7 linked regions of the Coturnix japonica genome follow. The protein of the gene in region 3 binds, or shares a complex with, the protein of the main gene of each other region. Links are inferred from orthologs where the notes say so. Each region holds a gene or a part of one and is shown on either strand. Other genes may lie near its edges.

The links.
Region 1: DPF3 (region 3) and SMARCD1 share a complex: the UniProt entries of both Homo sapiens proteins name them as parts of the BAF complex. The link is inferred for Coturnix japonica from reciprocal best matches to the Homo sapiens genes DPF3 and SMARCD1.
Region 2: DPF3 (region 3) and ARID1A share a complex: the UniProt entries of both Homo sapiens proteins name them as parts of the neuron-specific chromatin remodeling complex. The link is inferred for Coturnix japonica from reciprocal best matches to the Homo sapiens genes DPF3 and ARID1A.
Region 4: DPF3 (region 3) and ACTB share a complex: the UniProt entries of both Homo sapiens proteins name them as parts of the BAF complex. The link is inferred for Coturnix japonica from reciprocal best matches to the Homo sapiens genes DPF3 and ACTB.
Region 5: DPF3 (region 3) and SMARCD2 share a complex: the UniProt entries of both Homo sapiens proteins name them as parts of the BAF complex. The link is inferred for Coturnix japonica from reciprocal best matches to the Homo sapiens genes DPF3 and SMARCD2.
Region 6: DPF3 (region 3) and SMARCE1 share a complex: the UniProt entries of both Homo sapiens proteins name them as parts of the BAF complex. The link is inferred for Coturnix japonica from reciprocal best matches to the Homo sapiens genes DPF3 and SMARCE1.
Region 7: DPF3 (region 3) and SMARCC2 share a complex: the UniProt entries of both Homo sapiens proteins name them as parts of the BAF complex. The link is inferred for Coturnix japonica from reciprocal best matches to the Homo sapiens genes DPF3 and SMARCC2.

The regions. Positions count from the first base shown.
Region 1 is NC_029544.1:347,990-352,031, forward strand, and holds the start of SMARCD1 (SWI/SNF-related matrix-associated actin-dependent regulator of chromatin subfamily D member 1), read right to left. Parts: upstream 2,801-4,042; 5' UTR 2,765-2,800; coding exon 2,597-2,764; intron 2,477-2,596; coding exon 2,289-2,476; intron 1,119-2,288; coding exon 1,076-1,118; intron 979-1,075; coding exon 856-978; intron 587-855; coding exon 458-586; intron 1-457. UniProt on the Homo sapiens protein: Involved in transcriptional activation and repression of select genes by chromatin remodeling (alteration of DNA-nucleosome topology).
Region 2 is NC_029538.1:53,095-56,594, reverse strand, and holds part of ARID1A (AT-rich interactive domain-containing protein 1A), read left to right. Parts: intron 1-1,998; coding exon 1,999-2,131; intron 2,132-2,497; coding exon 2,498-2,670; intron 2,671-2,850; coding exon 2,851-3,001; intron 3,002-3,142; coding exon 3,143-3,274; intron 3,275-3,377; coding exon 3,378-3,474; intron 3,475-3,500. UniProt on the Homo sapiens protein: Involved in transcriptional activation and repression of select genes by chromatin remodeling (alteration of DNA-nucleosome topology).
Region 3 is NC_029520.1:23,752,220-23,756,222, reverse strand, and holds the start of DPF3 (zinc finger protein DPF3), read right to left. Parts: upstream 2,801-4,003; 5' UTR 2,636-2,800; coding exon 2,604-2,635; intron 1-2,603. UniProt on the Homo sapiens protein: Belongs to the neuron-specific chromatin remodeling complex (nBAF complex).
Region 4 is NC_029529.1:4,232,029-4,235,972, reverse strand, and holds the start of ACTB (actin, cytoplasmic 1), read left to right. Parts: upstream 1-1,144; 5' UTR 1,145-1,277; intron 1,278-2,033; 5' UTR 2,034-2,039; coding exon 2,040-2,162; intron 2,163-2,495; coding exon 2,496-2,735; intron 2,736-3,260; coding exon 3,261-3,699; intron 3,700-3,944. UniProt on the Homo sapiens protein: Actin is a highly conserved protein that polymerizes to produce filaments that form cross-linked networks in the cytoplasm of cells.
Region 5 is NC_029542.1:1,260,750-1,264,904, forward strand, and holds the start of SMARCD2 (SWI/SNF-related matrix-associated actin-dependent regulator of chromatin subfamily D member 2), read right to left. Parts: upstream 2,801-4,155; 5' UTR 2,662-2,800; coding exon 2,494-2,661; intron 1-2,493. UniProt on the Homo sapiens protein: Involved in transcriptional activation and repression of select genes by chromatin remodeling (alteration of DNA-nucleosome topology).
Region 6 is NC_029542.1:4,150,377-4,153,876, reverse strand, and holds part of SMARCE1 (SWI/SNF-related matrix-associated actin-dependent regulator of chromatin subfamily E member 1), read left to right. Parts: intron 1-1,161; coding exon 1,162-1,333; intron 1,334-2,311; coding exon 2,312-2,484; intron 2,485-2,943; coding exon 2,944-3,045; intron 3,046-3,353; coding exon 3,354-3,500. UniProt on the Homo sapiens protein: Involved in transcriptional activation and repression of select genes by chromatin remodeling (alteration of DNA-nucleosome topology).
Region 7 is NC_029544.1:895,855-900,045, forward strand, and holds the start of SMARCC2 (SWI/SNF complex subunit SMARCC2), read right to left. Parts: upstream 2,801-4,191; 5' UTR 2,757-2,800; coding exon 2,646-2,756; intron 2,563-2,645; coding exon 2,443-2,562; intron 327-2,442; exon of another isoform or gene 321-326; coding exon 235-320; intron 1-234. UniProt on the Homo sapiens protein: Involved in transcriptional activation and repression of select genes by chromatin remodeling (alteration of DNA-nucleosome topology).

The sequences.
Region 1 (4,042 bases), on a different chromosome or scaffold from region 3:
CAGGAGAGCAAGTTCCAGGACTCAAGCACAGGCAAGGTGCACAGCAGTGTTCCTTTAAGTTGTGAACACTTACATTCATCAACACATGCTCGAAAATCAAGTTCCAAGTCAAAAATGGTGAAAGACTGGAGATAAAGATGAGCTTGGAGGAATTAACTTACTCAGCAATTACATAAAATGCGAGTGCCCTGGTTCTAAGAGCCAGGGTACACAAGTGCTACTGATCGGCTCTCACCATTAATTCTTATAGCTATAAGAACTTTGTATAACTCATGTTCTGCCATGGGGATACCCATCGGTCTCCGAGTTGGGCTCTCGGTCTCGTCACCATCAGACTCCTTGGAAAACAGAGATGAAGGAGGATATCAAGCCCTTAGCTACACTCCCAGACACTAAGAAACTGGTTCAATTTCCAATTCCAGACCCATCAAATCAGCTCTGCAGTTGGGTGCCTTACACTCACATCTTCTAGCAGCCTTCCTTCTACTCGAAGCTCCCAGGAGGCCACTGTTCCTTCACCATCCTCTGCATCCGACTTGGCTGGATTGAAGGTATTGGAGATAAAAATACGTAGCTTTCGCTTTTGCTACAAGAAAAAGCATCAGCTCAGTATTCATTCAGAAGCAAAGGGATGAGAATCATGCTTATGTTTTGTTAAAACTAAGCTAAATATTCTTCTTTTCCTCATACATCCACTCTCAGGACAAACAGCACAGAGAGAGGCAGTCTTGGTTCTACCCCCCCACTTAAGTCCTGGGCATTACAGTTCTCTCTATGCTTATAGGGTTATGACACAACCTTCAAAGCCCTCCTACTCTTCTGATAACAGTAAGTCTCTGAATGTCCCTCTCCTACCTTAATGGGTCGTTTCAAAGCCTCCTGGATATCCAAGCGTTTCCTCATGATCGTCTGGTCCAATTTCCTTTCAAAGGCCAGCAGGTCCATATAAGCTTGAGACTCAGGCACAAGTTCACGGATCTACAAGCAGAACACGAGCCAATCAAGAATGCAAATCACTGTCAGTTCCCCCACATCTCCATATCAGCAGAGGCTGTCAACTGCACATGCCACTCACCCTCTGAGGTAGAATTTTGTCTGCCATCTTCTTCTTTTTAGCACTGTAAAGTAAGGAGAGCATTAAAATGGCAACCATTCTGCTAATTAACACTGGACGTTCACAAAAGGAGCGAGATGAGGTTTGTGTTTTAGGACCAGGGCATCAGCAATGCTCTCAGCCCTGCAGCAGCTGATCGCCTTAATACATCCCCAAGGAAAGCAATGAAAGCAAGGCTGCATCATTGGAAAGGAAGCCTTATGGCTCAATGTGCTTTAGACAGACTTTTCTAGGAGACTCAGAGATGCATTACCAACGTTACCAAGGCATCACATTGTACTATCAGAAACTGAACATTAACTTGCTCTTGTCCAGCAGTTGCACATTACTTTTTTATCTGCTGGAAATTCCCCTCTACCAGAGACGAAGCTGCACGAGAACATCAAAGTTTCTTTCAGCCACCCAACAAAAAAAAAGCAGCAATGAGAGGCCCAGGCCTGGCTCTGCACACAGAAAAGCTTTGTGCTGCTCTGAGCAGCCAGCAGATGACACCAAGTCAGTGCTGACCCCTTCAGAGAGAGCCTGCAGCTCAGTGATGCCTGCCCTCACCCTGATACACAGATCTCGTCCCATGGGGCTTCATGAGGAGAGAAGCAATGTGTCCACGTCCACCTGGGGATGCCCTGAGCACCCTCAATGCTCTGGTGATGCACAGAGATACCTCGAAGACCCCTTGGACCCAAGGATGCCCTGAGACTCCTCTTTGCCCTCGGGGTGTCCTGAGGAACCCTGTTGCCATAGGAATGCCCAAGGATATGCCCAAGACTCATCTGCCATCCCAGGGATGTCCTCAGGACCCCTGCTGCTCTGAGGATGCCCAAGGGACATTTTGAGACCTTCACTGTTCCCTCCCCTGCCCTGGAGGAGCACAGGGAAGATCTGGGACCCTCATCTGCTCCAGGAACCCTTCCTATTTCAAGGATACCCAAGGATATCCTAAGCCTCCCACTGCCCTGGCAGCATCCTTTGGACACCCATTGCCCTGAGAACCCCCCTGTTGCCAAGAGGACACCCAACGATGTCCCCAGAGCCTTTCTACCCCATAGTTATCCTATGAATGACCCGAGCTCCTCCCCCCACTCACAGCTCTAAGGATGGCCAAGGATGCCCTGATCCCCCCCCCCCCCCCCCGCACCGTCTATTCCCTGAGCCCCCCAGCACCCCCGGTTCTTACTTGTGGTTGCGGTTGGGCACCGCCTGAGGCTGAACCTGCTGCAGTTGCTGCGGCGCTGGTCTCTTACGGGCCTGATCCAGGCCGGCCTGCGCCATACCGGGCCTCACTGCCGGGCTCCCACCGTACCCGGGCGGCCCCATAGAGGGGCCTTGCGGTGCCAAACGGCTGCCCGGTAACATCCCAGGGCGCTGCAAGGGGAAGAAAAAAGCCGTTCCAATGCCCACCCGGGGGGAAGCCGGCCCCGTCCTCGGCCCCGCCGCCCCCACTCCCTCCCGCCCCGCCCCGCAGCGGCCCCTCCCCTGCCTCACCGGGTAGGCGGCCCCTGGTAGAGGTGAGCGGTACAAGCCCTGTCCCGGGGCTGGGCCCATGCGCACCGGTCCGCCTGGTGTGCCCGGACCCAGCGCTCCGGTCCCGGTAGCGGCCCCGCCGCCTCCACCGCTGGGAGTCACTGACTGGAAGCCCGCCCGCGCCGCCATCTTGTCCAGCACAAAGAGGAGCGGGCCGGAACCGGAGCTCTGACATAGAGAGAGCGCGGACAGCGGCCTAGAGCGGCAACGGCTGCAGAGAGCGCCCCCTGCCGGCGGGAGGAACTGCGGGGGGTGGGAAGTAGTGGGTGGGGAGGGGGTCGTGGGTGGGTTTAAGGTTCACTACTGTGGGGGAATAGGGGCCTGGGGGAGTATGGCAAGGTTCTGGGGTGGGGGTGGGGGGTGTAGAGCGTGGGGAGGGCTGTGGGTGGGGGTAGAGGACTTGGAGAGGGCTATGGGATGGTGTTGGGTTTGGGGGTTTCAGAGACCATGGATGGGATGGGGTATTTGCAGGGGGGGATGTGTGGGAAGGGGCTGCGTCCTGGGGACATGCATGGACCATAGGAAAGTGTTTTGAGGGTGCAAGGTGCTGGAGGATGGTGCTCATTAAGCCTCGATGCTGTGACTGAGTTGGGGTGGGGGTCCCCTGTTCTTACAGGTGCTCTGTGCTCGTGTTTGGGGCTGCTTTGCTTAGGGCTGGGGATGCTTGGAGGAGGATTCCTCCCTCCCTCAGTAGAAGGCACAGCGCTGAATTAAAGGCCGCTTTTTGCAAGTATTAGCATTACTTTCCTTGTCCCCAGGGCACTCATCCGTGTGGTTGCTCATAGAGCAGAGGGACCTGCATCCAGCCTGCATTAATCCATGAATAAAATCCAAGAGAGCAGCCACACCGCAAGTATTAATTAAGCAATTAATGATAATCACAGGCCATTTAGGAAGCTGTCCTGTACAGTGCATGGCATTGTTGACTGAGGAGAAAAGTGGGGAGTTGTTGGCATCTTTTCCACCAAATTCAGTGTTTCTTGACCTCGATAGAAAACACGATGCCGTGAGCACAGCCATTAGCTGTTGTCTCAGCATCCGTGTGTCCGTGCAGTTAATGTAATGCCACCTCCAACACAGCCTTGGCGCCTGGCTGCCTGATGAAATATTCATGGTGAGGAGAAGCGGTGGAACTTATCTGCTCCGTATTGTTCAGATGCAGCAACTTCAAGTGAGGCTTAAAGCCCGGCAGGAGCCTTTGGACAGAGTTAGGAAGTGGCTGGGAGGGATATAGAAATAAGGAAGGGCTGAGCTGAGAAATGGTCTCTCTCCAGCAGCAGTTCCCTGTCTGCCTGGAACTGGGGAGCCCAGCACTGAGCCCAGTGCTCCAGTTGTGGCCTCCCCAGGGCAGAGCAGAGGGGAGGTGCACCTCCCTCCATCACCCTGCTGGCCAGGCTCTGTGCAGTG
Region 2 (3,500 bases), on a different chromosome or scaffold from region 3:
GGCCTTATCACTCAGCATGTTTGTGCTCCTCTTTCATTTTTGTTTTCTTCCTCTCTCCTGTTCCCCTGCATTAGCAGGGGTGAGGGCACGGCGCACAGCACAAAGTGTGCTCTCAGCACTTCAGAGCTGTAGAGTCCCAGGGGACACAGCTGTTCCAGGGTAGCTGAGGCTCATTTTAGTAGCATCTTTAAGGGTTGTGAGCCTGTTTACCAGGGAGTCACCCTTCTGGAGCATAACTGTCCTAATGGAAAACAGAGCAGGCAACAGCGGAGGGTTCTGGAATCCCATTGTATGGGGAAAGGACTCTCATCCCATATGGATGTATGTGATTTGCTGTCCTTGTAGACTCTGTAACTTGTTGATGTTGGCTTATGTGTAATTTCAGCCTGCTCTGTCAAAATTAACTTTTCAGTGCTTTATCAGCGATAGAGGTCACACTGCACGGTTCAGCATTACCCACTGTGTGTGGCCCCAGGGGATGTAAAAGCCTTAGAGGGCAGTGGTCAGAGAAGAGCTCTTGGTGTTGAAGATACTTTCCATATATTGCGTCTTATTCACCCTCAAAAAGCAAAACTGTTTACAGAACATCCTCTGAAGCGGGCTGGGGATTGCCTTGTGGGCACTCAGCATGGGTTTGCTGCAGACTGTCTTGGGTTCCCGCTTGCAAACTGTAGCACGTGCCTGGGGAGCCATAATCAGCCTACTGTTGGTTTTAATTCCCAGAGCATGGAACTGGCCTGGCTCCAACTGTGTGTAAATTTGTGAGTGGGAGGGACAGCAGGGGGTGGGGACAAACACCAAATGGCAGCCACGTGGGGAATGTCTCAAGGCCTCTTCATGCCGCTGCCAGCATTTGTAAGCACATAGACGAACTGCAAATTCCTGGGGAAGCAAGTGGAACCAAACTGCTGCTGAGAAGGGAAGGAGAGCTGCAGGAAGGGTTCATGAATGAAACTCCCTGCTGAGCTGTCTCTGCCCTTCCTTCTGCCGAGAGCTCCCTGGGCTGGGAGGGAGTCACAGAGAGAAGGACAGGATGCCAGGAAGGTGGGGTGTAAACAAACATGCCCTGGACGTGACCTCGGAGGATTTTAATGAATAGCTGAAATGACTCATCAACCAGCAGGGTTGAAGCTGAGGGATATCGGGTGCTGGGGATGGTAACTAATGGAAACGTTAATTAAGAGTTCAGCTTCTGCCAGCTGCGAAGAGCATATAAACCTGAGAGCTGACACTGTCACAGTGATCCAGGGGCAGACTTTCACAGATCGCAGCACAGCTGGATCACACCTGATGGCCTTGTATTTTTTTGATGAAGGCTTAGTGTGGTGTAAAACAACTTGTGCAGAGTCAGGGAACTTGCTGGACAGGTTTTGTTGTTCTGTGAAAGATCCTGCATCTCTGGCATTCCTTGTTCCAGGAATTCTTGGGAGTGGTGCCTGAATTCACCTGTGTGAATTAACCCCACTTGAAGGGCAGAGAAGACAGTGGAGCCTTGTTCAGAGTTACCCAGTGACTGCAGAAAAAGTCCCAGAGTTGCCATCAGTTGGAAAGATTGTAAAGCTTCTGGGAGACAGTTTAAACCCTTCTGGGCAGAATTAGGATGTGAGGACAGTGTGTCAGAGGTTGTCATTTGGCAGAAAGAAATGTATTCCCTACCGCGTGGTCCACTGTGGAGCACTGACCTCTAGGACTGGATAGCTTGGGCAGCTCAACAGGGTGCTATAGTGGTTGGTACCATGTGTAGAAAGGAAGGTGGTTAAGTTGTAATAAAAATGAACACTTCCTTTCAGCTTCACCTTACTCTACAGGGTTCTTCTGGGGAGTCTGGTCCAGTATGTGCTTGGAGGCATTGCACTCCTTGTACTGTTTTGTCTGTATTTCACCCATCTCTTTGTTCAGAGACTGATCACTGTCTGTTATAGAGGCTGGTGCTTCGGGAGGTTCTGGGTTACATCTGTAGGATGCAAAGCTGCTCACGCCACAGTTGTGTTCTTGCAGCGGGTTCAGGCTCGATGCAGGGGCCTCAGACACCTCAGTCCACCAGCAGCTCTATGGCAGAAGGAGGAGACCTGAAGCCTCCAACTCCAGCATCTACACCACACAGTCAGATGCCTCCTTTGCCAGGCATCAGGTATGTAAATGTTGCACTCTCTTCCACCATACTGGATGTAAGTTGTGATTGTGAGGTTGCCAGAAGTTGTTCCCACAGCTGGCTGGAGACTTTAAGTACCTGTTTTGATAGACTCTTGGCTTTGCTACTTTGTTAGTAGCTCACAGTGACCCTGTTGACCCTGTGTCTCTGTGTGTGAATAACCACTGCTTTTGGGATTTGGTAAGGATAGTATTGTAGAAGGGTAGTTCTTGCCTCCTTTGGAGAAGCATGGTTCTGGCCCTTCTAGGAGGTAGCAATATCTGAGAGGGAATATGTGGGGTGAAGAATCTTGAGGAGCACTGCGGGCCTCTAAAAATCTGTGGGGTTGTTTTGTTTTTAAATCAGGAGTAACTCAGTGGGCCTTCAAGATACCTTTACAGATGGCAGTGATCCCACGTTCCAGAAGCGGAACTCCATGACTCCGAATCCAGGGTACCAGCCCAGCATGAATACCTCCGACATGATGGGTCGCATGTCTTATGAGCCAAATAAGGATCCTTATGGTAGTATGAGGAAAGGTGAGAAAGTCTGTACGTACTCCTCTCCCTTTTCTCCAGGAGCACTGTCAGTGTATCTGGATGAATGCTGGAATGTGCTGTGCTGTAGGAGACATGCTTGTCCTTCTTTCACAAAAGAAGGGATGTTTCTTTTTAATGCAGAGATAGATGTGTTTACTGATCCTTCTTTCCTTCTTTTAGCTCCAGGAAGTGATCCCTTCATGTCCTCAGGGCAGGGCCCCAACAGTGGTATGGGTGACCCTTACAATCGTGCTGCAGGTCCAGGGATGGGTAACATGGCCATGGGACAGCGGCCACAGTATCCCTATGGTGGTCCTTACGACAGAGTGAGGTGGGTGCTCTAGCCACACTGATTTTCCAGACTTGCTTGTTTCAACTGAGCTGATTGCTTTGACTTGTTCAATCGCTGCTTTTTGCTTTTCATTTGAGCATTGAGGGAATGTCACAGAATTTGTCACTTATTTCCATGTAGGACGGAGCCAGGCATGGGACCAGAGGGCAACTTAGCAGCTGGAACTCCACAGCCAAACATCATGCCTTCCACTTCGGAATCAGGGATGTACTCTCCCAGCCGCTACCCTCAGCAGCAGCAGCAGCAGCAAAGGTTTGTGTGGGGCGTTGCCACAGAGAGCTCTTTCCAGTTGAGAGAAGTACTGTGATAAAGAAATGTATCTGATGGAAAAGTGATGCTTGTGTTTCTTCTCCAGACATGATTCCTATGGCAATCAGTTCTCCACTCAAGGCACATCCTCTGGCAGCCCCTTCCCTAGCCAGCAAACTACCATGTATCAACAGCAACAGCAGGTAGGTTATCAGAAAGTATCAGAACA
Region 3 (4,003 bases):
GAGTGCTCCAGGGAGTGCATTTAACTGACAATCTGAAAGAAAAGTCAGCTGTGGGAGTACAGACTGAGAAAGGGTGGAGGAAATCAGCTCCACTTCTAGATCGAGCTCTGTAAATTACAAGATCTTAATTACATTAAATACATTATGGTACCGTATGCACATTTCTAGTCAGGCAGGAGTGGAGGAAATGTGGCTGGCTGCTAAGGCTGGAAGCTGCACTGCTGTGCTTTAGACTTGATCTTCAATTCAGAAAGTTTCTTAACCACTTTGTCCTAGTTTAGTCATCCACAAAACAAAGGCAATAATCCCTTCTTCACAGGGGTGATGAGAGGTTTAATTAATTAATGTTTACAAAGCCCACTGAGATTTCTGACTGACACTTTAAGTCATTCAGAATACCACTTCATTGCATTTGTTCCTTCTGCTGCCCCACTCGAACATCTCCGCATTAAGATATCCAAAGGAAAAGATGGAAAGAAGAAATAGAGATAGGTACCCAACAATGAATGCAGCATTTCTAGCCCACTGCTGCCCATCAGCACACTGAGTGCTGCCTTTTCTGCAGGCAAAGAACTCTGTGTTTATCCAGACACCTGCTGCCCTTTCTTCGCAGATCTGTTACGCTCACATCTCTGCCGTTTTTGCCTCGGAGCACCGTGTAGGTGAGCAAGGTGCTGGATGGCAAAAATAGCAGGCGATTGAGTCGGGCTGACCAGACAGACAGAGGCAGCGAGGGGGATAAGAGCAGAGGGATGAAAGCCCCCGAAGAGAACCAGCAAGTGAGAAAAGAGGCAGAGAGAGAGGCGAGCTGAACGTGGGAGCGCCCATCACAGCCGGGGGACTGCACGCACCGCGCTATTCCGTGCAGCGCGTTCCCAGGGACGCTCAGGTACACGGGAGCACGTTATTTCGAGAGCAGCGCAGCACGAACGAGGCCACACATGTGTCCAAGTGCCGGAGAGAAACTGAGCTCTGGGCACCGTAGACGGGCGGCACAGCCGGAGCTGCGGACACCTGAGCCGGGATGTCTCGGTCCCGACATTGTCCCCGGCTCGGAGCGAAACCTTTGTGCGGGCAGTTTCTGTAGGGGGCGTTTGTGGGTTTTCAGATACAATCAAAACGCAGATAAATGCAAATGTCATTCGGCTCCCTTTCATTGTCAGGGAGGACACATGAGGATAAAACGTTGTGCTCTACGTCCTTTCCCCTATTATGCGTCCTACCGCTTTTGTCCTAATTTATCCCGTGCATAATTTATTTACGTGCGTATTGTTTCCCCAACCAGCAACTTTAAAGAATGAGTGGAAATTATAAAATGTTTTATTAAACAACTTCTCGATATAAAAACGCAGGTGGTGCCGGGCAGTCCGTGCCGGTCCCGCTTCCCCCGCTCAGCAGCGCAGCACTTGTGCAGGCAGAGAGACGAGCTGCCCATTGTTCGCGCTCTCCCACGCCGCGCGAGAGGAGCCGAGCTCCGCTGCCCTCCCGGCTCAGCCTGGCGGGGCCGGGGCGGCCCGTTCTCCCCCACCCCCCGGGGCTCCCGGGGAGCGCTGCCCGCTGAGAGCGGCTCCGGAAGCCGGGCGAGAACTGCGAGCGGGACGGAGCGCCCGGGGCATCAGCGCGACAAGTTGCTGCGGGCGGCGCGGGTCCAGAGAGCGGCGGCGGCGGGTGCTGAGCCCCGGGATCCCCTTAAAGGAGCGCGGGGCACCTGCACTGCCGCTGCCCGCGGCCGTGTGGGCGCTGCGGAGCGCACGCGAAATGAAAGCGAAGGTTTTCTGCCAGGACGGAGCGGGAGAGCCGGCAAACGTGTCAGCACCTTTCCGCAGCCCGAGGCTCATCCTCCCCGCAGACTGCGGAGAGACGGCGGCAGGAGTCCCCGGAACCACCTCCGAGCGGTTTGCCAACTCCAGCCGGAGGGACGCGAGTCAAAAACCAACAAAAAAAGAAACAGAAGAAAAGAAAGCGGAGCCACATCCCGCAGCCCTCACTTCGGCTCCGGACTCCGTTCCGCGCTGCTGAGAAGTGCGGGGAAGCGCCGCCGCCAGGTGTCCGCGCTGCGCTGCGCTCCGTCCGCGGGAGCGCTGCCCCGGGAGGCACAACTCTCCCGCGGGAGGTTACGCGGCGCCGGGTCGCGCTCTCCCTAATGCCCCGGGATTAGCCGCGCGCCGGAACCCGAGGGAAACGCCAGAGGAGAGCAGGGGGGACGGCGAGCGATCCCGCGTCCCTCTTAGGACGGGGACCCGGGTGGCGGCGGCAGCCGAGTCGCCCTCCCGCCCCCGGCGCCCGCTCCCGAGCCGCGAGCGGCACCAACTCCCCGCCGCTCGGAGCCTTCCGCGCAAACGGCGCCGCTGCCCCGCGCCGCACCCCGCACCCCGCGGCTCGTCGCTCCCCGCCGCCCGCCCCGCCCCGGCCGCCGCCGGACCCCGCGGGACGCCGCCAGGTGCGGGTGCGCCCCGACCGGGGCCGCAGGACGCGCCGCCCGCCCGGAGCCGCCGAGCCGGGGCCGCGCGAGGAGGCGGGGAGCCGGGGCCGGGCGAGGCGGGAGGGCGGCCGTTCTCGTAGCGGAACCACGCGGAGCGTGTGCGGGTCTGAGCCCTACTTACGCTTTCAGGGGGTTGTGAATGACAGTCGCCATTTTGCTACAATGTAACAGAATATTGTGTCTCGGAGTTCTAAAGGTTCGCTCAGGGGAAGCGCCCGGCCAATCGGCGCGGGTCGTGCCGGCCCGCCGCCCAATCGTGCTCCGCGGGCGGGGCCGTAGCGCTGCTAGTTATTAGGGGAGCTGTCAAAGCCCAGAGGTCGCTCCTGCCTGTGGAGCGGGCGGCGAGCGGCCCTTAAAGGGGCAGCGCCCGCGCGGGGCACGCGGCCGGGCGGATCCTGGCAGGGGCCGCCCCCGGGGACACCGCCCCGCCCGCCGCCCTCCCGCCGGGCCGGCACCGCCATCCGCCCGGCCCCCGGGAGCCGCTTCCCCCCCCCAGGAATTTCCCTCCCGCGTCGGGTGGCCGCGGCCCCGAGCCCTTACATAACCGTAACGACCGGCCGCGATGACCGACACGCCCCGCCCCGGCCGCTCCCGGGACGGGACGGCGGCGGGGGCGAGTCCCGGGAGCCCGCGGCCACCTGCCGCTACACGGAGTGCTCGCAAGGAATTGGGAAGAGCGGCAGAGCGCCCGAAGGAAGCGGCGGGCTGGAACTCCGCGCCACTCGGAGTACAGCGCCGGAATGGAACGGGCACGGTCCGAGCCAGCAGCTCCCGCCCCGTCCCTCCCGAAGGACTCCCCTCCCTTCGGGCACCTCTGTCCATCCAGAAACAAGCAGCAGCCTGCCTCTCCAATCCTCGCATTCATAAAACTGGAGGAAACTCAGCTACACGCAGTTAAATCATTCCCATCGCAGGAGCAAGATAAGCCTACAGAGGGTAGCCCGATCCACAACTTAATGAAAGAATGGAAGTAAATGTTTGAGAGATGTTCAGGTGTAACACAGAGAAAACAGCAATCGTTGAGCTCATGGGATGAGCTTTGCAAGGGCAGAAAAACTAAATCTCTCCCAACTGTTTGTCAAAATAAAACTTTCTAATGTGTGGGCAGCAGAGAAAAGGCTGAGAGATGAACAACAGAGAGGTACAGAAATTATTACATGCAGATAAGGGGAAAGAGCAGTGCATCACTTTCCCAGTCATGCAGGATTCAGCAGCTTTGCCAGAGTCCCCTTTCCCAAAGCAGCACCTGCTGCAGCTCCAAGGCCAACCTGCCCACTGTGTGCTCCCGGAGGGAACCATCTTCCCCTATCTGAGACACTTGGTTACAGGAGAAATAAGCTTCCTGTCAGCTGGAGAGTTGCCAGACTGCCGAGATGTATCCTAACCACGGTTCTGGGAAGCAATCTTCAAGAACGTTTCCATTATCATATTGCATTATATTATATGGTATAGTAGTGGTCCAGGTGACATTGACTGTAACTGCAGAAAGCCCTGTTCGGTACTCACACTGTTCACAGGAAA
Region 4 (3,944 bases), on a different chromosome or scaffold from region 3:
CAAAATATTGCCCAAATGTAGGCAAAGGCCCCTCGGCTGCCCTGACCTCCGCCGGGCCGGGCCCTGCCTGACTCAGCTCCTTACTCAGCTCTCGTTTCCTCCCTCCGGCTGCTGCTGCCGCTGCAGCTCACACCCTAACGAAGCACGGCCCTTGATGGGCTCTGCGATGCACCCAGCAGTCCAAGGGCTGGCCGGGAGGTTTGCACCGCTACTTGCTGACATGAGCGCTGAACTTGGCCCTGGGTAGCGCTGCAGGCCGGGAGGGGTGGGTGCAAACAATGCACCTGGTGCCCCATCCCCTCCCTTGCAGCACCAGGCCGATGGTGTGATTGCAGCTCGGTGCATGCACGCGCCGTGATACGTTCCTTGCTGCTGTAGCAGCCTAGTGCACGCACAGCCCTCGCTGTTATTGCAGCTCTGCGCACACACTCATTGTATCACTCCATCCCACAGCATGATGCACTCGCACTGGAGCTATCGCTGCTGGGTGCACACACTCATTGTATCGCTGCAGCTCAGTGCATGCACGCAGGCTGCTGTTATTGCTGCTGGGTGCACGCACATCAGTGTGGCTGCAGCTCAGTGCATGCACAGCCGGTGCGCATCGCTCCCACTGCTCCCATCGCTCCCATAGCTCCTATTGCTCCCATTGCTCCTACTGCTCCCATTGCTCCCATAGCACCCATAGATCCCATATAGCACCCATAGATCCCATACAGCTCCCATAGATCCCATATAGCACCCATAGATCCCATAGCTCCCATAGCTCCCGTAGCTCCCATCGCTATGGCCGCCTGTCCCCGGGAGGTGACTTCAAGGGGACCGCAGGACCACCGGGATGGGGGCAGGGCTGCATCCCCTCCCCAACAAAGCACTATGGAATCAAAGCATTATGGAATCAAAGCACTATGGAATCAAAAGGGGGTGGGGGTGGAAGGGAGCGTCACACCCCGCCGCTCAGCCTCACCTGGAGCTGAGCCCCACGCTCCCCTCTCCCCTTTCATCCCCCCAATTTCCTATTTATTTATTTCTTAATTATTTTGTGCAGCGATGGGGGCGGGCGGGGCGAGGCGGGAGAGGTGCGGCCACAGCCAATCAGAAGGGCGCGCTCCGAAAGTTTCCTTTTATGGCGAGGCGGCGGCGGCGGCGGCCCTATAAAAGGCGGAGCGGGCGGCGGGCGGGAGTCGCTTTGCGCTGCCTTCGCCCCGCGCCCCGCTCCGCATCCAGCCGCCTCGTGCCGCCCGACCCGGCTCCGACTGACCGCGGTACAAACACAGGTGAGCGGCCGGACCGCAACGCTGCGACAGCAGAGCTCCATTGTGCCATACGGGGGAGCACCGAGGGGCTGCGGGGGGGCGCTGTGTATTGGGGAGGGGGCGTGAGTCGGGGTGTGTGTGTGTGTTAACGGAGCCGGTGCTGCCCGGTGCCGCGGGGCGGTTCGGCGCTTTGTGCTGCGATGAGCGGGGCGGGGGGCGAGGGAACAAAGGCGGAGTGAGGGGTGGGGGGGGGTCGGGTTGTGACCCCCATGTGCAGCTTTAACCCCCCCCATGTGCAGCTGTACCCCCATGTGCAGCCCCCCCCCCCCAATCCTTGTTACAGATCGCGGGCTGTGCTGGCTGCGGGGCTGTGCTGGGTGCGGGGCCGTTGGGGGCTCGGGGCGGTGCCGGTGGTTGGGGGCGGCTGGTGGGCGGGGCTGGCTGCCCCTATAGCGCCGGCGGCTGTCGAGGCGCGGCTCGGAGCTGCCATTGCCTTTTATGGTCATGGTTGGAGGGCGCAGGGACTTCCTTTGTCCCAAATCTGTGCCGAGCCCAAATCCGGGAGGTGCCGCCTGACCCCCTCTAGCGGGCGAGGGGCGAAGCGGAGCCGGCAGGAAGGAAATGGGTGGGAGGAGGAGGGCCGTGCTGCCGCGCTGCCGCCCCGCGATCCATCCCCAGCGTTGGGGGGATCTATAGGGGGCGAGGCGGGGCGGGGTCCGGCTTCTAGTGCGTGACCGGCAGCGCTTCTATCTCACTGCCTCCTCTCTTCCTTCGCAGCCAGCCATGGATGATGATATTGCTGCGCTCGTTGTTGACAATGGCTCCGGTATGTGCAAGGCCGGTTTTGCCGGGGACGATGCCCCCCGTGCCGTGTTCCCATCCATCGTGGGTCGCCCCAGACATCAGGTACGGCAATGGCTGGAGTGATGCATCCAGACAATGGAGAGGAGTGTTCGGTGGGAGTGGTTGTGCTGAGGGCGTGGAGCCTCCAGAAGCCCTTTTACTTTCATGTGTGACATAAGAGGTTTCTACTCTGCAACAGTAACTGGTTGAATACACAGCATCCTGCCGAGCAACCCGTGTTGAGCCAATGGCTCCAGTCCTTAACCTGGCAGAGTAGGGGCAGTAGGGGGTTAGTGATTAAAGGTGTGGCTTCTGCGGGGGGGGGAAATAAAACCTTTATTCATCCATTGGATTTTGTCCTAGAGTTAAACTTAAAGCTTTTTCTTTGTTGTGCAGGGTGTGATGGTTGGTATGGGTCAGAAAGACAGCTATGTAGGTGATGAAGCGCAGAGCAAGAGAGGTATCCTGACCTTGAAATACCCCATTGAACATGGCATAATTACCAACTGGGATGATATGGAGAAGATCTGGCACCACACTTTCTACAATGAGCTCCGTGTTGCCCCTGAGGAGCACCCTGTGCTGCTCACAGAGGCTCCCCTGAACCCCAAAGCCAACAGAGAGAAGATGACACAGGTGTGTAAAACCCTTTGAGCCTGGAGCTACAGCAGGCGCTGCTGCAGGCCAGCTCTCCTCTTCCATGTTGTCCTCTATCCGCCTTCACCACTTCTCCCTTTTTGCCATCTTTACAGGGTTTTCCTTTCCTGACCTGAGTCTCCTCTTTGCTGGACCTTGACAGGTTTTGTTTGCTCTAAGCTGGCTTTCTCTGAGACTGAACTAGCAACTTGTCTAACTGCTGTTTCTGACTAGACACTAATCCATTTACCAGCCTTGAATGACTATACTGTAGTTCCTTGGCCTTTGTTTCGTTCCTTGCTGTGTCATGTGGATGGGCCTGTGGTAGCAGTGTCCTTGCTCAGGCTCTAACCTGGCAGGTGTGGGTGGAGACCAAGCGAGATAAGCACTGATATCTCCTTCTAGAGGAGCAAAGAAGCCTCTTTATCTAGGGACAAATGTAAAACCACATGCATGGACTGATGTAGGCATGCAGTGAGAACCTTGGTTTATTCTGCTTGACTCAGTGCTTTCTTATCTCTCTAGATTATGTTTGAGACCTTCAATGTCCCAGCCATGTATGTAGCAATTCAGGCTGTGCTGTCCCTGTATGCCTCTGGTCGCACCACTGGTATTGTGATGGACTCTGGTGATGGTGTTACCCACACTGTGCCCATCTATGAAGGCTATGCCCTCCCCCATGCCATCCTGCGTCTGGATCTGGCTGGCCGTGACCTGACGGACTACCTCATGAAGATCCTGACAGAGAGAGGCTACAGCTTCACCACCACAGCCGAGAGAGAAATTGTGCGTGACATCAAGGAGAAGCTGTGCTACGTCGCACTGGATTTCGAGCAGGAGATGGCCACAGCTGCCTCTAGCTCTTCCCTGGAGAAGAGCTATGAACTCCCTGATGGTCAACTCATCACCATTGGCAATGAGAGGTTCAGGTGCCCTGAGGCCCTCTTCCAGCCATCTTTCTTGGGTAAGTCTGACTCCTTTTAGGAGATTCCGTGCCCCTTCTGCCTAGAGTGACTTAGAGACTAGTCAGCTGCCATTGTACTGCTGGCCCTTAGCAGGTCTGTCCCATTCCACTTCAGTCTTTGTCTTCCTCAGCCTGAGGATGATAGAGGTACCTAGGTCAGAACCAGGAGGCTGAGCCTGTAAGCCATGGCTTTGCTTGTGTTGCTTCCCACTATGGGGTCTTTGTTTCTCTTCCCATAGCAGTAG
Region 5 (4,155 bases), on a different chromosome or scaffold from region 3:
GCAGCGCTCACACCAGGACCCAGCAGCCATGCTGACACTGAAGGGGAAAGGCCACATTAAGTGAAGTTTTCTCAGCAGCTTCCACACCGCAGGGACTTGGCAAGAGAACAGAAGGGATGCACGAGTTACAGCCTGGGACTTTCACCTCGTGCTGATGGCCATGGAGAGCACAGGGTAAGAGGGGGAAGGAGGTGTAAAACAAAGAGCAACCTAAGGAACAGAGGCTGCAGCAGGCAGAGAAAGAACTCAGGGGATTTATGCCTTAAACACAAGCAGGAACAAGGAAGAAAGGTGTTGGGTTCCTGCTTGAAAACGTGGCAGCCTCAAGTAATACAAAGGGGGAAGCAATGGGAAGAGTGGAAAACACTGCTCAGATGTGCAGGGAAAGGCTCTGAGGGTCCCTATGGAGGAAGACAGAGCAAAGGCCTCCAGCAGGAAGCTTTGGAGATGCTCCCACCGAGCAGAACCTCCATGAGCCTTAAGGAGAAACAAAGGGTGCCCTGAGCTCTGCTGCTGCCTGCTTCTATCCAGCACTGAGAGCACAGCATTGCTCTGCTTTGTGTCACGGCTTCATTCTGCTGGATGCTCAGCCTCTGATGAAACCTGCCTTGGAAACAGTCCCCCACTGGGAAGGGTGGGTCATGCAGCAATGCAAGCTGCAGATCCCTGCTGTGTGCTGCACTTCCAGCCTTGCTGCCGTCCCCAGGCCAACCATGGGACAAGCACCCAGCTCTCCTCTCCTAATGGGATCCAGCAGGTCTGTTTGGAAGCAGAAAGCTCCAACTCCTTCCATGCACAGCCACGCTTCCTCCAATATCACTTTGTTAGCAGTTGTTTGGCTTGCAACAGCCCTTCCGTCCCACGGAAATGGGATTCCTGCTTGTCAGCAAGTGCCAATGAAATGCTTTTAACGGGGCACTTCATTAACTCCACTTCTTCTTTTTTTTGCCACTGATCTACGCCAGCAAAGCGACAGCACAGGGCAACCTCAAGGCCATTCTGCACAGCCCCTCCTCCACTGCATCACAGAGCTGAGCCCATTCCCTACCACAGCATCAACCTGATAACTCGGGAAGGATCTCCCAAGCCTGAAACCTCCATTACAACAAACAGAGGGAACTCCTGATGGATTTATGCTAACCTGAGCCTTGGGATGGGGGTGGACACACCACCGTGCAGCTGATCGCCCATTGCATGAACACACTCCCACTCCTTTCTGCTCTGGAAACATCAGTGCTAGAGTGAGTTGTCCTCCCCATTTCCCTTCTTGAGCTGCTGGTGCATAGCCAGGCAGGCAAGGGATGTCAAAGGATTAACATACATTTAATAATCCACTGATTAAAGAGCCCCTAAGCACCCGCTGCCATACATGAGGGCTGCTGTGTTCTCCTAGCCAGCATAATGCAGCAGAAGGAGCCTGACTCACTGGTTACCCCCTGAGAAGTCCTGCGGGCACCGCAGTTTTGACCACTTGGTGGGGAGGAGCTGCTTTAAACAGGCCTGCAAATTGCAAAACAAAAGACAGACCGGATCGATCAGCCCCCAATCCCCTCCCTGTGCCAGCAAACTGCCGGCCAGACACGACAACAACGACTTGCATTACCCAAACACTGCAGCACTGCCATATGCTCCCAGTCTCACCCTACCCCATCCATACGCTCCCAACACCTGCCATGAGTGCAGTATTATGGCCAGCATGGGATAAGGGGGGGGGGTGAAAGCAAACATATGTGCCCCTGTTTACCCACAACAGAGCGATGCCCGCTGGGTTCTGCAACCTGGGAAGGTCGGGATGAAGCCTCCCTATAGCTCTGAGTCACATTACAGCCAATGCAGGGCCCTATTGGCCTGGCTGAGCTCATCTCAGTTTTCACTTCGGGGTTTTTCAGCTTCACGGGTTGTTTCTCCTCCTTTGATACAGCAGTTGGAAATTCCCCCCATGTGGATGACTGGATTTCTTCGGTTTGGAACTCAGAACTCATCGCAGAACGAGGCTTCTCCATAAACAACCCCACAACACGTGGGGGCTGAACCAACAGCAGAAAAGGCAGCAGAAAGAGAGCAGAGTCCACAGCTTCCAGCACTGCAGCGGGTCACATTTACTCCCCTTTATCCCCATTCCTTCCCTTTAACGTTCACCATCACAGCTCCATCTCCGGAGCTGGAAATGCACAAGGATGGCTGTGATGGACCCTCCTGGGCCAGGACCCCCACAGCACAGCCTGGGGGGGTACGGGACCACCTCCATAGGGCAGAACACTTCTCCGTTAACTTTTTAATGGGGGTGGGGGGCCAGGACAGCCGCCCCTATGGAGCCCCGCTCCCCCCCCACCGCCAGGGCCCCACGTTCAGGAAGCAGCGCCGCTTCCTCCGGGCCCAAAAGGCCTCTGAACCCCCACGGCCCCTTTGGAGGCCTCTAAGTAACCCCCCAATCCCACCTCCCACCTCCCATCCCCAATACAGAGCACAGAGCCGCCCCCCGCCCGCCCTCACCTGGTACTGCGCTCCCGAAGGCCCCATCGGACGATATCCCGGAGCGGCCCCGGAGGCCGGAGTCGGGTTGGGGCCTCTCATCATACCGGGTCCGGGCCCTGGAGGAGGAGGAGCGGCGGAGCCGGAGGGAGGCAGAGGGCTGAGAGGGAAAGCTCCACGGGCGGCCATGGCGGTGCTGGACCGGGCAGAACCGAACCGGGCCGGGCCTAAAGCTGGGGGGGCGGCCCGGCGCTGTTTACTCGGAAGCGGCGGCGCCCGGAGCGGAGGGAGCGCGCGGCGTGAGAAGCCACGCCCCCCACCCCCGATAAGCCACGCCCACTCCCACGATAAGCCACGCCCACTCCCACATTAAGCCACGCCCACTCCCACATTAAGCCACGCCCCTCCGCTAAACCACGCCCTCAGAGAAAAAAGCCACGCCCCCCGATAACCCACGCCCCGATAAGCCACACCCGTTCACGCCCTATCCTATAAGCCACGCCCTCCACTAAAGCCACACCCTTCACTAAGCCACGCCCCACCCAATAAGCCACGCCCCAAAGCAAAAGCCACGCCTCCGATAAGCCACACCCCGTTCACTAAGCCACGCCCCCTCCGATAAAACCACGCCCCTTCCACTAAGCCACGCCCCCAGAGCAAAGCCACGCCCCCCAATAAACCACGCCCATCCACTAAGCCAAGCTAACTCCAATAAGCCACGCCCCTTCCATAAGCCACGCCCCCTTCAATAAGCCACGCCCCTTCCAATAATCCACGCCCCTCCGCTAAGCCACGCCCCCAGAGCAAAGCCACGCCCCCTCTGCCAAGCCACACCCCCTCAAAAGCCGCCACTAAGCCACGCCCCCTCCAATAAGCCACACCACTTCACTAAGCCACGCCCCTTCACTAAGCCACGCCCCCTCTGTGTGGCCACGCCCCTTAAACAAAGCCCCGCCCACTTGTGAGGCCCCGCCCCCATTGGCTGTATGTGTGCACATGTGTGTGATTGTGTGCACATATCTCTGCCAGCATGTGTGTGTTTGCATGTTTAGGGCCGTGTATGCATCTGATATGTGCATATGTGTGCACACGTGTGTGCATATGCGTGCCCACTCTGCATGCATGTGTGTGTATGTGTACATGTGTGCACGTGTTCATAATAGTGTACATGTGTGTTCATATGTGTTTTCCTGAGTACATGTACGTACGTGTGTACATGTGTGTGCATGTATGTGTGTATGTGTGTGGGTGGTGTAAACACATCTGCATGTGTGCATGGATGTGCATGGGTACATGTGTTAGCATGTGTGTACACGTGTGTAGCTGTTAGTGCATGTGATTATATGTGCATATGATTGCATGTATGTTCATACATGTGTGTGTGGGTGTATATGGATCTTCATGTGTACACCTCATGTATGTACCTCTGTGTGTATGTATGTACCTCCATGTGCAGGCATGTCCTTATGTGTATGTGTGCACATGTGTATTCACATGTTTGCATGTGCCTATATGTGCACATGTATGCACACACATGCACGTGTCTCTATGTGTATGCACACATGTGTACATGTGTGTAAATGTGCCTGCATGTGGACATGTGTGAGCATGTATGTAAGTGTGTACATGCATGTGCATGCGTGTCAGGGTATGTCCATGTGTTTTGATGCATACTTGTGTGTG
Region 6 (3,500 bases), on a different chromosome or scaffold from region 3:
GCTCTGCAACTACTGCTGTTGAGGCATGAACGTGCTCATAAAAGACTTCCAGTCACGTAGGGTTTGCTTTCCATGCTATTACCTGGTGTATCTCCACGCTGTGGCGTGGTGTTTTGTTTCTTAGTCGAAAAATGATACCATTCTGTAGGGTTTTCTCTTGGTTTTGTTTTTATCTTCACAACAAAAGATGACAGCTCTGCCATGTCTCTAGGTTGGTAAGTGCTGAGGACTTTTACAAGACTGTTACTGTGATCCTGAACTACAGAGGGGAGCTTGTCCACCCGCTGCCTTGTAGTTAAACCTGGCTGGCATCCTGGTTGTGCACAGCCTGATCAAACCTGAGCTGTTTGATTCCAAGTCAGTAGAGAAGTACTTCCAACTCTTAGTTGAAACAAAATGAAGGAATTCTAGTCTCTTTAACTTGGTAGCAGTGTTTAGATTGTAAGCTCCTTGGGGCAGGGGCCATCTTGCTTGTGTTTGTCCAGTCCTAGTAATGAAGAAACTTGACGCCCTCAGGTATTGGTGCCAGGATCGTAGCTTATCTCATTTTTCATTGGAAATACCTGAAATCTCTGTACAAATTCTAGAGTAGGCAAATTTTAAGAGTGACCTGAAAGTAAACAATTCAAAGGGAAAATATTTCAGAGAAAGTGAAAACAGTGATGCAGTCCTGCTACCAGTAGTCTGGCTGCAGCACTCTGTATCATCCCAGTGCAGGGATGGATCAAAGAACGCAAAGGCATAAGTTATTTGGAAACTGGCTCATGGCATAACTGGAATAAAGAAAGAGAAGAAATGGAAATAAAAGACATAGATAAAACTCCAAAGAACTATTGAGAATATTTTAAGTCAACTCTTCTTTATTTGATCTGAGTTCATTTGATAAATGCCTCGTTCTGAAGTTTGACTTCAAATGACAAAAATAAAGCGTTCTTAAGACCTCTCAAGCAGTAAAAAGCAGCTAAAAACCCAACGCCATTTGGGCTGAATGATTGTGGAAGGAGTTCTGATATGTAAAACTTAAAAGCTGAGGGAATCTGGTGGTGTCTCAGTCAGGTAGTTCAGAAATGAAGTCTGTATAACTGAGTTTGAGTAACACCTATTTCTGTCAGGTCTGAAATTGTCCAGTGGTGCAATCAAACAATATTGGTCACCTTTCAGATTGAGTACAATGAGTCCATGAAGGCCTACCACAACTCTCCTGCGTACCTTGCCTACATCAATGCAAAAAGTCGTGCTGAGGCTGCGTTAGAAGAAGAAAGCCGACAACGGCAGTCACGCATGGAGAAGGGTGAACCTTACATGAGCATACAGCCAGCAGAAGATCCAGACGGTAAGCAGAAAACAGCCTGTGTGTGTGTGCAGGGAGACAGTCTCACCACAGGGCCTGTGGCATAAGCACACGCCAGACAGAGAAATTACTTCTGTGTAGCCTTCCTGGTGCTGAGTGTGACTTCCTTTTATTTCAGTACCTTCACTACTTTTATTTTGTATAGCTAACAGCTCCCAAAACCTAAGGTGGCAATGCAGTGATAAATCTACCAGCCCTTAATTGTGTATGAAGTGATACGGACAGTTCAAAAGAAATTCGTCTGCTTAAAGCTCTGTAGTGGCTCTAACAAATCAATTACCAAACGATGAGCCGCTTCCTTTAATCCAGCTTGAATGGAATCCTGCACTTCATGACCAGAAGAAGCACGTCGTTCTGATAAGCTGAATTCTGGCATGATTAGGAGCACCTGAACTTCAAAGGTTCAACAAAAGTCAATTGAGATTGTTTAGAACAGAGTTATCCTCACTGTTGACAAGTTGATGAGAAAATTCTGAAAGTTTATTTGACTGCAAGGAAATGCACCCCACCCAGCAGGGAAAATCCAGATTTGTGCAGTTAAAGTCTGCTTTGAAATTGGTGACCCCGTACGTACTTGTTGAAACCTGAGGGTGAGAAAATCTGCTCAGTTACACCCTGAGATAAAGCCTGTGGCAACAGCGCCTTCCCATGTGAGGTAACTGCAGAACTGATGTCAACATGTTCAGTGCTCCAAGCAGCTGACATTGTGGGGCTTTCATTTCTGATCCACACTATGTGGGCCAGAATTAATGCAGGCAGAGCCAGCTGTGCCAGCACCAGGATGGATCCACTCATATTTGGGATGAATTGCTCAAATATTTTAGGATGAACTTTGTGACACAAGAAAGCAGTGTTGGGCTTTGGTTTGTTTGTAGTCAGTGCTGATGTTGGTGCAGCCTCATTAGCCCCAGTGCTTGCTTTGGGGAATGAGTGCCTTTGTGCTTCCAACTCCTGTTTCAGATTACGACGATGGGTTTTCGATGAAGCACACAGCTACAGCCCGCTTCCAAAGAAACCATCGCCTCATCAGTGAGATCCTGAGCGAAAGTGTGGTTCCTGACGTCCGCTCTGTTGTCACCACAGCCAGAATGCAAGTTCTTAAACGCCAGGTTCAGTCTTTAATGGTTCACCAGGTAAAGATAAATGATGGGAGGGCAGCACGCCGAGTTGCGCGTCCTTTGATCATCCCTGTGCTGTTCTTGTTGGGTGTCTGTGCTTTGTGCGCTCCAACTGCTGATCTTGGGAGTGCCAAGATGTGAGATTTCATTTCCCATGGCCTTTTTTACTGAGAGTTACCTTAAGCTGAACTTTTCCTTGTTACACACAACCCTTTTAGAGGGTATATTGGTAGATTCGGTTGCTTATGACTGCAGTCTTGTAGCAGTTCTTTACCGCACAGACCCCATTTATTGTTCAGCCTTTTTTCCTTCTTGGTGTATGTTGGGTATTGGATCAAGGAAACATTTTGGTGTAAGGGTTTAAAACATGTCTGTGTTTAAATGTTGGTTTGAATATTGTTGTCCATTTCTTCAGAAGTAAAGCAGCTTCATTTATGACATTTATTAATTTTGTTACATTTATTACATTTCCAGCGTAAACTGGAAGCTGAGCTGCTGCAAATTGAAGAGCGTCACCAGGAGAAGAAGAGGAAGTTCTTGGAAAGCACAGATTCCTTTAACAATGAGCTCAAAAGGGTACGAGTCTCCTTCCCCACTTACTCTGAGCAATCTACTGGTTCCCTGCTCATACTGATTCTCTGCCCACTTCCATTTAGTTCCGTATTGTCTGTGATGAGATGACTGCAGTGTCCCAGGTCTGGTGGAGCGTTTGAGTTGCTTCTTCTGTAGTTTCTGAAGCTTTTAATGTAAACTTATTCAAATCACAATATTTATTGTGCACGTATTGCTGCATGTTGAGATACCGAGTAATAATTGAGTTTTCTTGGTGCTTTGTCTTTTCACAATGTAACTGGGTAATAAAAGAGCTTTTTTCTAATTGCTAGCTGTGCAGTTTGAAGGTGGAAGTGGATATGGAAAAAATCGCAGCTGAAATTGCTCAGGCTGAGGAACAGGCACGCAAGAGGCAGGAGGAAAGGGAAAAGGAAGCAGCTGAGCAAGCTGAGCGCAGTCAGAATAACACAGCAGCTGAG
Region 7 (4,191 bases), on a different chromosome or scaffold from region 3:
TCAGGTCTCCTCATCACTCAGCCCCATTTTACCCATTAAAGGGGGGTGGGGGGACACCCCAACAGGGATCTGTGTATGGGGCTGTGACCCACAGATGGGCAGCCAACACACTGCCCAACCCAGGGCTGTAACCGCCCCCATTGTGCCCCATAGAGCAGACAAATCTCTGCCTCCCCCCTCCCAACCCCACCACCACCCTTAATTCCATCCCATCCTCCCTATGATGCCGCTCACCATCCTTGGTCGCTCTTGAACTTATAAGCAGCCGCCAAGATGTGGCACAGGGCTCCCCCCGCCTTGAAATCCAGGAAGCATTTGATCTGGAAAAGGGGATGGGAGGACTCGGGGGGGGGGCTGCCCCACAGCGGGCAATACCCCACAGCGGGCAGTGCCCCACAGCAGGCAATACCCCATACATAGCAGGCAATGCCCCACAGCGGGCAGCACTGGGACTCATCCCTTCTCCCTATTGTCCCCATTGCTGTCCCTGCTCCATGCCATGGGGGCGACCACCCCAACAACCCCCCCGCCCAACCCCAGCCCCAAAGAGCCCCCCAAAGGGATGGGAGTGGGGAAGAGGAGGGTCCCCATGTGTCCATCCCTCCCAGCTGGGCCGTGTGGGGCCTGGGGGGCTCTCGCAAAGACCCCTCCAAAGGGGGTGGGGGGTGGGAAGGGGGAGGGTCCCATGTGTCCCCCCCCCACCAAGGCATTGCAGGACCGGGGGGGTCTCACAAAGACCCCCCTAAAGGAGGGGGGGGGGGGAAGAAGAGGGTCCCTATGTGTGTCCCCCCCAGCTGGGCCATTTGGGGCTGGAGGGGTCTCGCAAAGACCTCCCCAAAGGGGGGTGGGGGGGTGGGTCCCCATGTGTTCCCCCACACCAAGGGCCGGGGGGGTCTCGCAAAGACCCTTCCAAAGGGGGTGGGGGGTTGGGAAGGGGGAGGGTCCCATGTGTCCCCCCCAACCCAGGGCATTACGGGGCCGGGCCGTGCGGGTCCGGGGGTGTCTCAGGTCTTTCAAAGACCCCTCCAAAGGGGGTTGGGGGGTTGGGAAAGGGGAGGGTCCCCATGTGCCCCCCCCCCAGCTGGGCCATTTGGGGCCGGGGGGGTCTCGCAAAGACCTCCCCAAAGGGGGGTGGGGGGGTGGGTTCCCATGTGTCCCCCCCAACCCAGGGCATTGCGGGTCCGGGGGTGTCTCGGGTCTTGCAAAGACCCCTCCAAACGGGGTGGGGGGTGGGGGGTGTCCCCATGTGTCCCCCCCAACACCAAGGCATTGCGGGGCCGGGGGGGTCTCGTAAAGACCTCCCCAAAGGGATGGGGGTGGGGAAGACCCCTCCAAAGGGGGTGGGGGGTGGGGAAGGGGAGGGTCCCATGTATCTCCCCCAACACCAAGGTATTATGGGACCGGGGGGGTCTCACAAAGACCCCCCTATAGGGGGGGGGGGGGGGAAGGGGAGGGTCCCATGTATCTCCCCCAACACCAAGGTATTATGGGACCGGGGGGGTCTCACAAAGACCCCCCTATAGGAGGGGGGGGGGGGAAGAGGAGGGTCCCTATGTGTCATCCCACATTTGGGGCCTGGGGGGTCTCACAGAGACCCCCTCAAAGGGATGGGGGTGGGAAGGGGGAGGGTCCCTATGTCCTCCCCACCCAGCTGGGCCATTTGGGGCCAGGGGGGTCTCGCAAAGACAACCCCAAAGGAACGGGGGTGGGGAAGAGGAGGGTCCCTATGTGTCCCCCCCAACACCAAGGCATTGCAGGGCCGGGGGGGTCTCACAAAGACCCCTCCAAAGGGGGGGGGGGGTCCCACGTGTCCCCCCCAACCCAGGGCATTACGGGGCCGGGCCCTGCGGGTCCGGGGGGGTCTCACAAAGACCCTCCTAAAGGAGGGGGGGGGGGAAGAGGAGGGTCCCCACGTGTCATCCCACATTTGGGGCCGGGGGGGTCTCGCAAAGACCCCTCCAAAGGGGGTGGGGGGGTTGGGAAGGGGGGGGGTCCCCATGTGTCCCCCCCCCCCCCCAGCTGGGCCATTTGGAACCGGGGGGGTCTCGCAAAGACCTCCCCAAAGGGATGGGGGTGGGGAAGACCCCTCCAAAGGGGGTGGGGGGGTTGGGAAAGGGGAGGGTCCCATGTGTCCCCCCCAACCCAGGGCATTACGGGGCCGGGCCTTGCGGGTCCGGGGGTGCCTCGGGTCTTGCAAAGACCCCTCCAAAGGGGGTGGGGGGGTTGGGAAGGGGGAGGGTCCCCATGTGTCCCCTCCACCCCAGCTGGGCCATTTGGGGCCGGGGGGGTCTTACAAAGACCCCTCCAAAGGGAGGGGGGGGGGTCCCATGTGTCCCCCCCAACCCAGGGCATTACGGGGCCGGGTCGTGCAGGTCCTGGGGTGTCCCTGGGGGGGGTTGCGGGGTTTGCGGGTCCCTTTGTCCGCCCGGCCCAGTCACGCACCGGCAGTTTGGTGAGCGGCGCGTTGCTGACGTGCTTCCCGAACACTTCCTCCTGGAACTGCAGCAGTTGAACCACGAGACTCGACAGCGATTTGTTGGTGGGGGGCTCGGCCTGGATGTACTGCGGGAGGGGGCTCAGCCTCGGGCCTGGCTCCGTGTAAAGCGGAGCCGTGAGGCCTATGAGGGATCCCGAACGATCCGTACCTTCTTGTAGTTCTTGCCCAACCAAAGGCGGACGTTGTCGAATTGACTGACGGTGTCCGAGGCCTCGTAATATTTGACGTTGGGGCCGCCGTCCTTCTTCCGCACCGCCATCTTCCAGCGGGCCGGGCCGCTCCCCGCCGTGACGTGACGCAGCGCCCCCTGCCGGTAACGAGGGGTACTGCAGGACGGCGCCCCCTGCCGGTAATGAAGGGTACTGCGGGACGGCGCCCCCTGCCGGTAATGAAGGGAACTGCGGGACGGCGCCCCCTGCCGGTAATGAAGGGTACTGCAGGACGGCGCCCCCTGCGGGCAGAACAGGGGTGAGTGTGCACAGCGCCCCCTGCAGGCCGAATGGAGATGAGTGAACACAGCGCCCCCTGGCGGCACGGAGGACCCGATGGATGGGGGCGGTGTGCCGGGTCTAGGCGGAGCGCGGATGAGGGAGGCGCTGAAGTCACGGTGGCCGAGAGGTGAAGGCGTTGGACTCGAAATCCAATAGGGTTTCCCTGCGCAGGTTCGAATCCTGTCCGTGACGGAGCTTTATCTTTTAATGGGGGGGGGGTCCCTTTTTAATGTGGGACTCTGTATAACACGGAGCAGTTCAGAAAGGCTCGGCCCCTTTTAGTGTGACCCCCCCCCCGACCCCTCCTAGAGCAGCCACAGCTTCGCTACAGAAACCAGAACAGCCGTTTTTATTGATCGCTGAACGCCCCCCCCCCCCCCCCCCCCACCAACAAGGGGGGGGGAGACCCGGAACCGCATCGTACAGACAGCGGAAAATAGGGGGAAGGGGGGGGGAGGACCGTAAAAAAAACCAACGTAACGAATGAGAATAAATTAAAGTCCCATAGGGTGAATGGGGGGGGGTAAGGGGGGGTATGAAGCCATCGGTGGCACTCCAAAATCAAAGGGGGGGGGAGGAGAATGGAGGGGGGGGGTAAGAATGGAGGGGTGGGGGAAGGCTGAGTAGTACAAAATAATACAGAACCACGAGCACGAGTGGCTGCAGAGGAACAGCAGTGGGGCAGAGGGGGCTCCTATTGCCCCCCAGGGTGGTGCCAGACCCCCTCCCTGCTCCCCCCACCCCCCCCCCTCATTGGCTCCCCCTCGCCCATAAATGCCCAGCTCTGCCTTTAGGGTTAAATGGGGAGAGGGAGGCCAGGCCTGGCCCCCTGGGACAGACACAGGCAGCATAGGGCAGAGAGCACAAGGGAGGCAGCCGGGGGGGCTGCAGGCACAGCGTGAGCATCCGTGGGGCTGGAAGCCCATGGGGCTGGAAGTCCATGGGGCTGGAAGTCCATGGGGCAGCAGCCCAGCAGTACCCGGGGTGCAGCTGTGCCTCCTCTGCCCCCTCTGAAGACACCAAGTGGGGATATGGAGCTGCAGGGGGCAAATGGGGGGTGGGCTGGGGTGGATGCAGCGGTTATAAGGGGGACTTGGGGGGAAGGGGGGGGGACATGGAATCGTTTCATCCAGCTGTGAGCAGAGCCCGGCCATTGGCAGCATCCACCCCAGGCCTCGGTCCCAGCCCCCTCCTCAGCACAAA